Ovis aries: one gene and its partner. Each later gene encodes a partner of the first gene's protein in a complex. Links are inferred from orthologs where the notes say so. Each region holds a gene or a part of one and is shown in the gene's direction. Other genes may lie near its edges.

What was found. The genes of interacting proteins can lie anywhere in the genome.
Region 2: the proteins of TNKS2 (region 1) and SH3BP2 are in contact, whole or in part, in a crystal structure (PDB 3TWR), measured with the Homo sapiens proteins. The link is inferred for Ovis aries from reciprocal best matches to the Homo sapiens genes TNKS2 and SH3BP2. Residues at the interface, in NP_079511.1 of Homo sapiens: Arg525, Ser527, His531, Phe532, Gly535, Tyr536, Asn537, Arg538, Leu560, Asn565, Ser568, Tyr569, His571, Asp589, Trp591, Phe593, Glu598, Lys604; in NP_001116153.1 of Homo sapiens: Leu413, Gln414, Arg415, Ser416, Pro417, Pro418, Asp419, Gly420, Gln421, Ser422, Arg424.

Annotation. Positions count from the first base shown.
Region 1 is NC_056075.1:13,182,268-13,186,238, forward strand, and holds part of TNKS2 (poly [ADP-ribose] polymerase tankyrase-2), read left to right. Parts: intron 1-184; coding exon 185-350; intron 351-1,005; coding exon 1,006-1,225; intron 1,226-3,971. UniProt on the Homo sapiens protein: Poly-ADP-ribosyltransferase involved in various processes such as Wnt signaling pathway, telomere length and vesicle trafficking.
Region 2 is NC_056059.1:116,647,700-116,652,201, reverse strand, and holds the start of SH3BP2 (SH3 domain-binding protein 2), read left to right. Parts: upstream 1-1,654; 5' UTR 1,655-1,782; coding exon 1,783-1,881; intron 1,882-4,502. UniProt on the Homo sapiens protein: Binds differentially to the SH3 domains of certain proteins of signal transduction pathways. Binds to phosphatidylinositols; linking the hemopoietic tyrosine kinase fes to the cytoplasmic membrane in a phosphorylation dependent mechanism.

The DNA of each region.
Region 1 (3,971 bases):
TATTTTAAAAATTTCCTCTCTGCCCCTGTCAAAGTAATTCCATTTCTGCTTACAATAAATTTATGTTCTATAAATTAAAATCAGTAAAATTTCTTGTGCAGTTCAGTAAGTTTATCATCTCTGTGTAGTTATTTAAATTAAATTATATCTTTGTGTTGTGTTTTTTATTTAACTTTCATTTCAGAGGCCTTGTACCTTTGCACAATGCATGTTCTTATGGACATTATGAAGTTGCAGAACTTCTTGTTAAGCATGGAGCAGTGGTTAATGTAGCTGACTTATGGAAATTCACACCTTTACATGAAGCTGCAGCCAAAGGAAAATATGAAATTTGCAAACTTCTGCTTCAGGTATATTCAAGTATTTACGGACAGGGTATATAATGTAGAATATTATATTACTTGTAACTCCAAACTTTAATAGTAAAGGGATAGGAAGCAGAACTAATCCTGTACCTAGACTTCAGAATAAATGTCATAAACAGGGAGGTGGGAGGGGGGTTCATGTTTGGGAACGCATGTAAGAATTAAAGATTTTAAAATTTTAAAAATAAAAAACTAAAAAATAAATAAATAAATAAATAAATAAATGTTATAAACACTATAAGCCAGGTTTATTTAGCAATAATGAAACTGATAGTACGTTGGTATCTGCACTGGTACCAGTGTAGGTATTTTACAGTAAAAACACAACTGTAGTTAAATTTATACTTTATACAAACATTGAAATGTTTGTGAAAACTAAAAATAGCATATGTGAAAGGTAATCTTTAATGAAATAGTTTGTTTTGAACGTAGTTTAAAATTTTGGTTATATTCTTGCATTATTAAAGCTCAGTAGCATTTAAGTGTGTATTTTTTATTGTAATTTTTTGTGTATTAAGCATTGTTAACAGTCCTGTTAACCCTTAAGGCAGAGTCTCTGTATAAAATAGATTGACTGTTTTCTCGTTATCCAAAGGCAAACTTAAGCCAAACCTTCCCTTTCTGGTTTTCACATGCCCAGCATGGTGCAGACCCCACAAAGAAAAACAGAGATGGAAATACTCCTTTGGATCTGGTTAAAGAAGGAGATACAGATATTCAAGATCTACTTAGGGGAGATGCAGCTTTATTGGATGCTGCCAAGAAGGGTTGTTTAGCCAGAGTAAAGAAATTGTCTTCACCAGATAATGTAAATTGCCGTGATACACAAGGCCGACATTCGACACCCTTACATTTAGCAGGTAGGTGAATGAAGTGTCACAGATTTAGGCTGGTACATCTAAAATTCATTTTACCTGAGTAAAATATTTCCTGTAAGTAAATTTGAAAGATTTGACTCAGGCGTCTTCTAATACCATTATACGCTAGCGTGTTTGTACAGGCCCGTGTTCTCTTGAGTATAGCAATTTGCATTTAGTAAGAATAATTGAAAGAGGCTTTGCCAGTCTCCATGTGCTTCAGAGAAGGCAATGGCACCCCACTCCAGTACTCTTGCCTGGAAAATCCCTGGTAGGCTGCAGTCCATGGGGTCGCGAAGAGTCGGGCATGACTGAGCGACTTCCCTTTCACTTTTCACTTTCATGCATTGGAGAGGAAATGGCAACCCGCTCCAGTGTTCTTGCCAGGGACAGGGGATCTATGGGATCACACGGAGTCGGACACGACTGAAGTGACTTAGCAGCAGCAGCAACAGAGCATGTGCTTTACAACCTTTATTCCAAGTCATCATGTTGTTTGAATCATCTTTGGTGAATGTGTTTTCACTGTAGAAGCTTTAAAAATATGCCTGCTTGAGTCAGCCTTCCTGATGGGAAGTTAAAATTTTCCATTCTTCTAATGATAGTTGTTAAATGGAAGCAGAAAAAAGGCTTTAGACTTCCAAAAGTTACATAAAATTCTTGTTATTTTTTGTTTTAGTTTGTAAGGCCTGCCTTAACAGATTGCCACAGACTAGGTGGCTTAAACAACAGAAATGTATTTTCTCAGCTTTGGAAATGTTGGCAGGATAGGTTTTTTCTGAGGCCTCAGTCCGTGGCTTGCAGATGGCCACCTCTGTCTGAGTCCTCACATGGCCTTTTCTGTGTATATGTGCATCCCTGGTGTCTTCTCTGTCCTGACTTCCTCCTCTTATGCTGAATTAGGGCTGACCCTCACGGCCCTGTTTTAACTGAATTATCTCTTAAAAGGCTTTGTCTTCAAGTACAGTCACATTCTAAGGTACTAATGATTAGGGCTTCACCACGGGAAATTTGGGGGATATAGTTGAGTACCTAACTTTTGTTTTGAGTTTCACCCATGAAACTGGCACAGTCTGTCTTTGTCTTCCCTGCGTGTAGTGCAGCACTGTGATTTCAGCACAGCTTTCTGAGCTGCACTGGAGGTGCTAGCAGGACTTCCCTGGCAGTCTAGAGGTTAAGACTCTGTGCTTCCACTCCAGGGGCATGGGTTCAGTCCCAGATCAGAGAACTAAGATCCCACATGCCTCGTGGCCAAAAAATAGTACTAATTTTTAAATAAAAATTCATAAACCTTTAAAAAAAGAAGAAAAAGTTGCTAGGGAATGGGTCATTAAAAGCACTGAGCTTCCAGTCTTTTAGTGGAGTTGCATCATAGGCATGTTTGACCCATAGAGATTCATATAAATATACATGGTTTAAAGAGAGAAAAAAGGAATGTAGGTGTTTCTGCCACTTTGTGTAATGTGGGAAGTACTCTTCTCTCACTTCCTTTCAGTCTCACATCGTGAGCAACTATGTTCCTAGGGAATTTTTTTATTTTTTGGCCATGCCTGGTGTGGCATGCAGGATCTTAGTTTCCCAACCAGGTATCAAACCCAGGCCCCCTACAATGGAAGCACAGAGTCTCAGCCATTTTCACCAGCTAAATCCCATAAGAGATCATTTTAGTGTTTATGGTTTAGACCTTTAAATTATGACCCCTTGTGAGTTGGGACCCCACAGGCCAAGGGTAAGAATTGCTCCATCTCTGTGTCTTGTAGAGCATTTTGGAAGTGATAAACCACAAATGCTAACAAAGTGAGGTAAGACTTTTCTTCCTCTGGCAATCAGGAGTCAGTAGTCCATGTAAGAGAAAATGTGGCCTGATCTCAGATTTGGATTGCGCTGTGCATAGTTATTTACATAGGCTTTGAATCTTTATGGTAGCTTATCTAGAACACTGAGTATTACTTTGTAAGTCGGTGTTATCTTTGTGAGTGACAAATACATTGTACACACAGAATGTTTCTCACTTATGTAGCAGTATGCTTTGAGACATGGAAGGACTTTGGATTTGGTGTATTTAGCTTATGGTAGCTTTGTTTTTCTTGATCTTACTGAAATTTTTTTTTTTGCTTTAGATATCTCAGCAAAGGCTGAAAACTTCAGTAAAAGTGAATGAATTATATACTTTGAGCTTTTTAAAGTATCAAGTGATAGCTGATTTTATGTTGGCAAAGTTAAATTCCAGATTTGCTTTCAAACTATGATTATGTGTCAGATACAATATATCAATACATACTTTTTTTTTTTTTTTTTTTTTTTTACCAAGAACACGTACTAAGATAGCTGTCGGTTCCCCAGATGACAGCTGGGGGATTATAGTACATTTATAAAATACTCAGCCTTACTACTTCATGGCTTTAGCAGCAGTGGATTCTGCTGCCCACAGAGATGTGTTCCCTTACATTCTCTCTGGCAAAAAGCATGTCTTTGTGATCTTCTGAGGAAGTGGGACCCCAAGACCCACTGATGTGTTGTCTTCTGCTCTGCCAGCCACTTCTGTTCCTAACTTCATTTTTGTATGATTGGATGCCTTTTGCTTGCAGCCTTGAGACCATTTACCTGAGTTCAGGAAGTTGTATATACAATAACCATGAAGGCAGGGACTTTGGTAAGAAGGTTTTAAAAGAAACGATTTAAGTAAATCAACCACTATAACTTTAGAATCTCAAAAAGAAATGAATTTCATCTCTGAAAACTTCCAACT
Region 2 (4,502 bases), on another chromosome or scaffold:
CGAACCCAGGTCTCCTGCATTGCTGGCGGATTCTTCATCAGCTGAGCCACCAAATGAAAGCAGCGTTATTTGCTGCAAGGATGAATTGCTGCCTGGGGAGATGGGACGTCACTGGGAGAAACTGGTAGAAACTGGGAGGCCTGGAGTGGGGAAAGATGGGAGGTCACTGGGAGAAGCCGGGAGGCCTGGAGCGGGGAGAGATGGGAGGTCACTGGGAGAAACCAGGAGGCCTGGAGTGGGGGCCTTGGGAATCCTGGCCTTGGCTTCCGTGAGGCAATAGGGTGGGGGAAGGGACCAGGGTGATCTGACCTCCGTGGAGACCCCGCGGCTCCTGCAGGTGTGGTCCTCTGCCTGCTCCCACCTCTGCCTGCACAGGACAGAGGCTGGCTGGGGCCTGCTCCCCACTCTGGGCAGGCTGTGAGGATGGACGGGAGGAGGCCCCCCTTGACCTCCCTGCCACCCTTTGCCCCTGGGCTGTGGTCAGCTGTCTGCCGTAGGCGCAGTCTGCCCACGGACCCTGGCGGGCACGGAGGCCGACGCTGGCAGGGGAGGCCAGGGTGCCCCCTGAGGAGAGTGACGACGCACAAACCCAAGTCCCCCATCCAGGAGACGGCGGGGCGGGGCGGGGGTGTGTGTCTGAGGCCCGAGCCGGACACCCAGATGTGTGTGCGACCAGGTGCTGGCAGGCCGGCTGTAGGTGCTTGCCCTGGGACAGCTGCTGGGCTGGACAGGACGAGCTTCTGCAGTGTCTGAGGACTCGCCGGTCCCCTCAGACCCTGCAGCCGCATGGCCCCAAAGTGCTCCATCCCCCAGCTGGTGCTGGGAGTGGGGGCGGGGATGGACCTTGAGACTGGAGCTTAGGGGAGGGGAGGGGAGGCAGTGGGCATGGGGCTCAGTGCCCAGCAGCTTGGGCTGGACTCCTCGCTCCCAGCTTCCTGGGTGGGGGAGGGAGCCCAGCTTAGAGGGGCAGAGCAGGCCTAGGGTGCGTGGGTGGGCTGCATTGTGAGTGGGACCCGGGCAGGGACCAGGCAGTGATGGAGCACGCTTGGCCACTCGGGGTGTAAGTGCTTTCTAGCAAGCCAGGTGTTTGCTGGGGAGCTGCGAGTGTGCCCCGTTGGGGTGTGTGAGCCCAGCTGTGTCACAGAGGCTGTGCCTGGCGTGGGCGTGGGAGGGGCAGAGAGGCCTGGGGAGCATGGAGGGAAGGCTGGTATCCCATCCGTTCTTCGTCCCTTGGGGTCAGAGGACAGAGAGGCAGCCACTTTGACACGTGAAAGTCTCCTGGTGTGAGAGGCGTGGGCCCCTGTATCACAGTGGCCTCCGGAGGCGGAGCTGCATGGCAGAGTCTGTGTTCTGGCCCATGGGGCGCCCCGGGAAGGTCGTGACTTCGTGTGCGGCTGTCTTTGGGGCCAGGGAAGCCGGGCTTGATGCCCTGGAATTTGGGGCTCCCGATTCGCTGGGAAGAAGCCCAATCTGCAGAGGTGGCCTTGGGGTGGGGACGGGACCCTGCCAAGGGGCTTCCTCCCTGAGGCGGGGGGTGGTCACAGCTGGCCTCATCCTGGGGCCTGCCCACAGTGGGCACGGCTGAAAGCCAGCAGGCCAGGCAGCACTGGGCCTCACAGGAAGTGCTGGCTACCCGGGGCTGCCCAGGGCCCCCGCAGCAGGAAGTCCTGGGCGGGGAGGAGCCCCAGCGGCCATAGGGCCCAGACACAGGCAGCGGGCGGCTGTCAGCAGGCGCGAGCAGGCGCCTCACCTGCCTGGGGATGCTGGCCGAAGCCCCACCCCATGGCCCCTGAGCCGCATGGCCTTCCTAGACCCCAGGACACCTGCCCCGAGGCCGTCAGCAGGCAGGAAGAGAGCCATGTGCTGGCTCAGCGCCACCAGGTCAGTGGGGCGGACCCGGCCCAGGGGACTTGGGAGCTTGTGCCGGCCCAGCACCTGTAGAGCTGCTCTGGGGGGCCCGCGTGCGAGCCCGGACCCACCCTCCTTGGGGTGGCGGCAGCGGGATGCACAGGACCCTGGCCCCGAGCCCCAGGAGGAGAGGCAAGGCCAGGGGTGGACGGGACAGCTGGTGGGAGCCCAGGGCCTGCGCCGCTCGGCCGGCAGCCTGCAGAAGGCCCCGGGTAAGCGTGGGCCTTCCAGCGGACATCCTGCCCTGCCCGGGGGGTGTGGACACTGGGTCCTGGGTGCACATGCTGTGAGTGTGATGGTGTGTGTGAGTGTGCCTGCACTGGAGGAATGCAGAGCTGTGTGAGCCCGGTCGCCTGCCGGCCCCCCCACCCCCTTCCTGGAGCGCCATGCCCTGTGCAGGAGTGCCTGGCGGGGGGCTCAAGAGCCTCAGGGTCTCAGGGACCCCACCGCGGGTCGTGCTTCCTCCCTTCCCCTGGCGCGGCTGCTCACTGGCCTTCGTGGAAGATGGTTTTTTCTTTTGGTTTCCATTCTTTTATGGAGAAAGATTCAGGGAAGAGGAAGGGGGAGGAGCAATTGAAAGGGGAGACTGAACCCAGAGGGGCTGGGCCCTGCCCCTCAGGCGCCACCTAGCGCCTGCTGTGTGCCCGGCTGGGGGCGGCAGGGCCGTGTGGCTTGGGAGTTACTCAGCATCTCTGACCCTCGCTGTCTTCACCAGTGGGCACGACGCTGGTTCACACGTCGGGGGGGCTGGGGTGGGGTGGTGACGTGGGCGATCCCCGAGGAGCATGGGGCCTGGCACACAGTGTGCGCCCGGGGTGCCCTGTGCGGGCCCGTGACCTGGGGGTGGAGCAGCACTGTGCGGTTTAAGGAGCGGTCAGGCCCGGCGCTGGACGGGTGCAGGGCTGTGGGGAGGTGCTGGTGGCTCTCATCTGCACCCAGGCTGCCTTGCCCAGGGCACAGGGTCTCCCACAGAGGGTCCTCTCAGCCCCTGGAGGCTGTGTGTGTGAGCACACCACGTGGGAGTCGGTGCGTGTCTGTATGTTTGAGTGCAAACTGGTGTGTGTGAGGGTGAACACACGTAAGAATGAACGTGAGCATGCACACGTGTGGGTGAGCGTGTGCCTGTGTGTGAGTGTGAGCAGCTGAGCGAGTCTGTGTGTGCACTGGAGGGCATGTGTGGACATGGCATGTATGAGTGTGTACAGGTAGGTGTGAGTGAGTGTGCATCTTCAGGCATGCGTGTATAAGCACGCACGTGTGCCTGTGGCGAGTGAGTGTGTGCGTAGTTGCGAGTGTGCGAATGACCGCCCTGGGGACCCGGTCTCTTCCCCCCTGGGACCCTGGGAGCCCAGGCCTCCCCTCTCTGCGGCGCTTGCAGCTGGGCAGCCGGTGACCACTGACAGGAACCCCTAGCGCTGCGGTCGCACGAGGCGCTGGCTCCCTCGCCACAGCCAGGGCCGCAGGTCTGCAGGTGTTAGGGGAGCCGAGCGAGCCCTGCTCTCGTGCACTGGTTCACACAGCACACGTGTGTGCACACAGGCCGAAGAGCACGCACAGAACCTTCTCGCCCACGCCGCGCGGCTCACGCATGCATCTTGCCTGGGCGTGCAGTCCATGACAGTGGCTGGGTGTGTGGGCCTCTGCCGGGGATGGCCACATGCCCTGGGGACTCACAAGCCAGGGGGAGGGGGAGCCACAGAGCCTGCACTTCCTGGAGCCCAGTGGGGCCATCTTTGCGAGGAGGAGCGGTTTTTACCTGCCTGCTCTGCTCCGGTGCTGCAGCCTCGGGCCTCGGTCCCACAGACCAGTCTCAGCTTTCAGAGAAGGTGGGGGTTAGCACGGAGCAGAGACCAGAGAGCTACCTGGCGCTGGGCTCCTGGGCAGGTCCCAGCGTGGCGGGGCAGGGCCGGGGGCCCAGAGGATGCAGGGGCCTCAGGACAAGCCGGCCCTGCCACGGTCCACCCTCTGGAGGGGAGCGGCGGAACGGGGGTGTCTGTCGCTGAGGCAGGGACGCTCCCAGGGGAGGTGACAGTGGAGCACAGGCAGGCCTGCTGCCCGGCCAACCGGTGGACACCAGGAGCAGAGGGTCCTCGGCCAGGTGAGACCAAGCCCTTCCCAGGCCTGTGCCCGCCTGGCCGCCGAGCTCACCAGGGTGGGACTGCGGGGCCGCCCCAGCTTTTTCCCCTCCAGGTGCGGAGCCAGAAGGAGGGGTGGGCCCCGTCAGTCCTCAGCTCTGCCTCCAGCGCCCCCGCCCCAACAAAGATTCCAGGTCTCCTTACAGACTGGAGTGGGCTGGGGGCTCCGTGTCCACTTGCTGCGGCTTCCAGGCCACCTGCAGTCCCCACCACCCAGGGCAGCAGCATTTTGCTCCTCCCGTGGGACAGCCTGGTGCTCCTTCTGTGCCCGGGTGCCCCCTCTTAGGTCGGGGAGGACCCCTGAAGAAGGGAAAGCTGAGCTAGCTCCTGTCTCGTTTTCGGATTGTTGCTGGCGGAGAGAAATACGACGGAGTTTTGTGTGCCCATCTGCTGTCCTGCTGCCTTGCTGAGCTTGTTTACTATTTCTAAACATTCTTTAGTGGATCCCTGGGGTTTTTC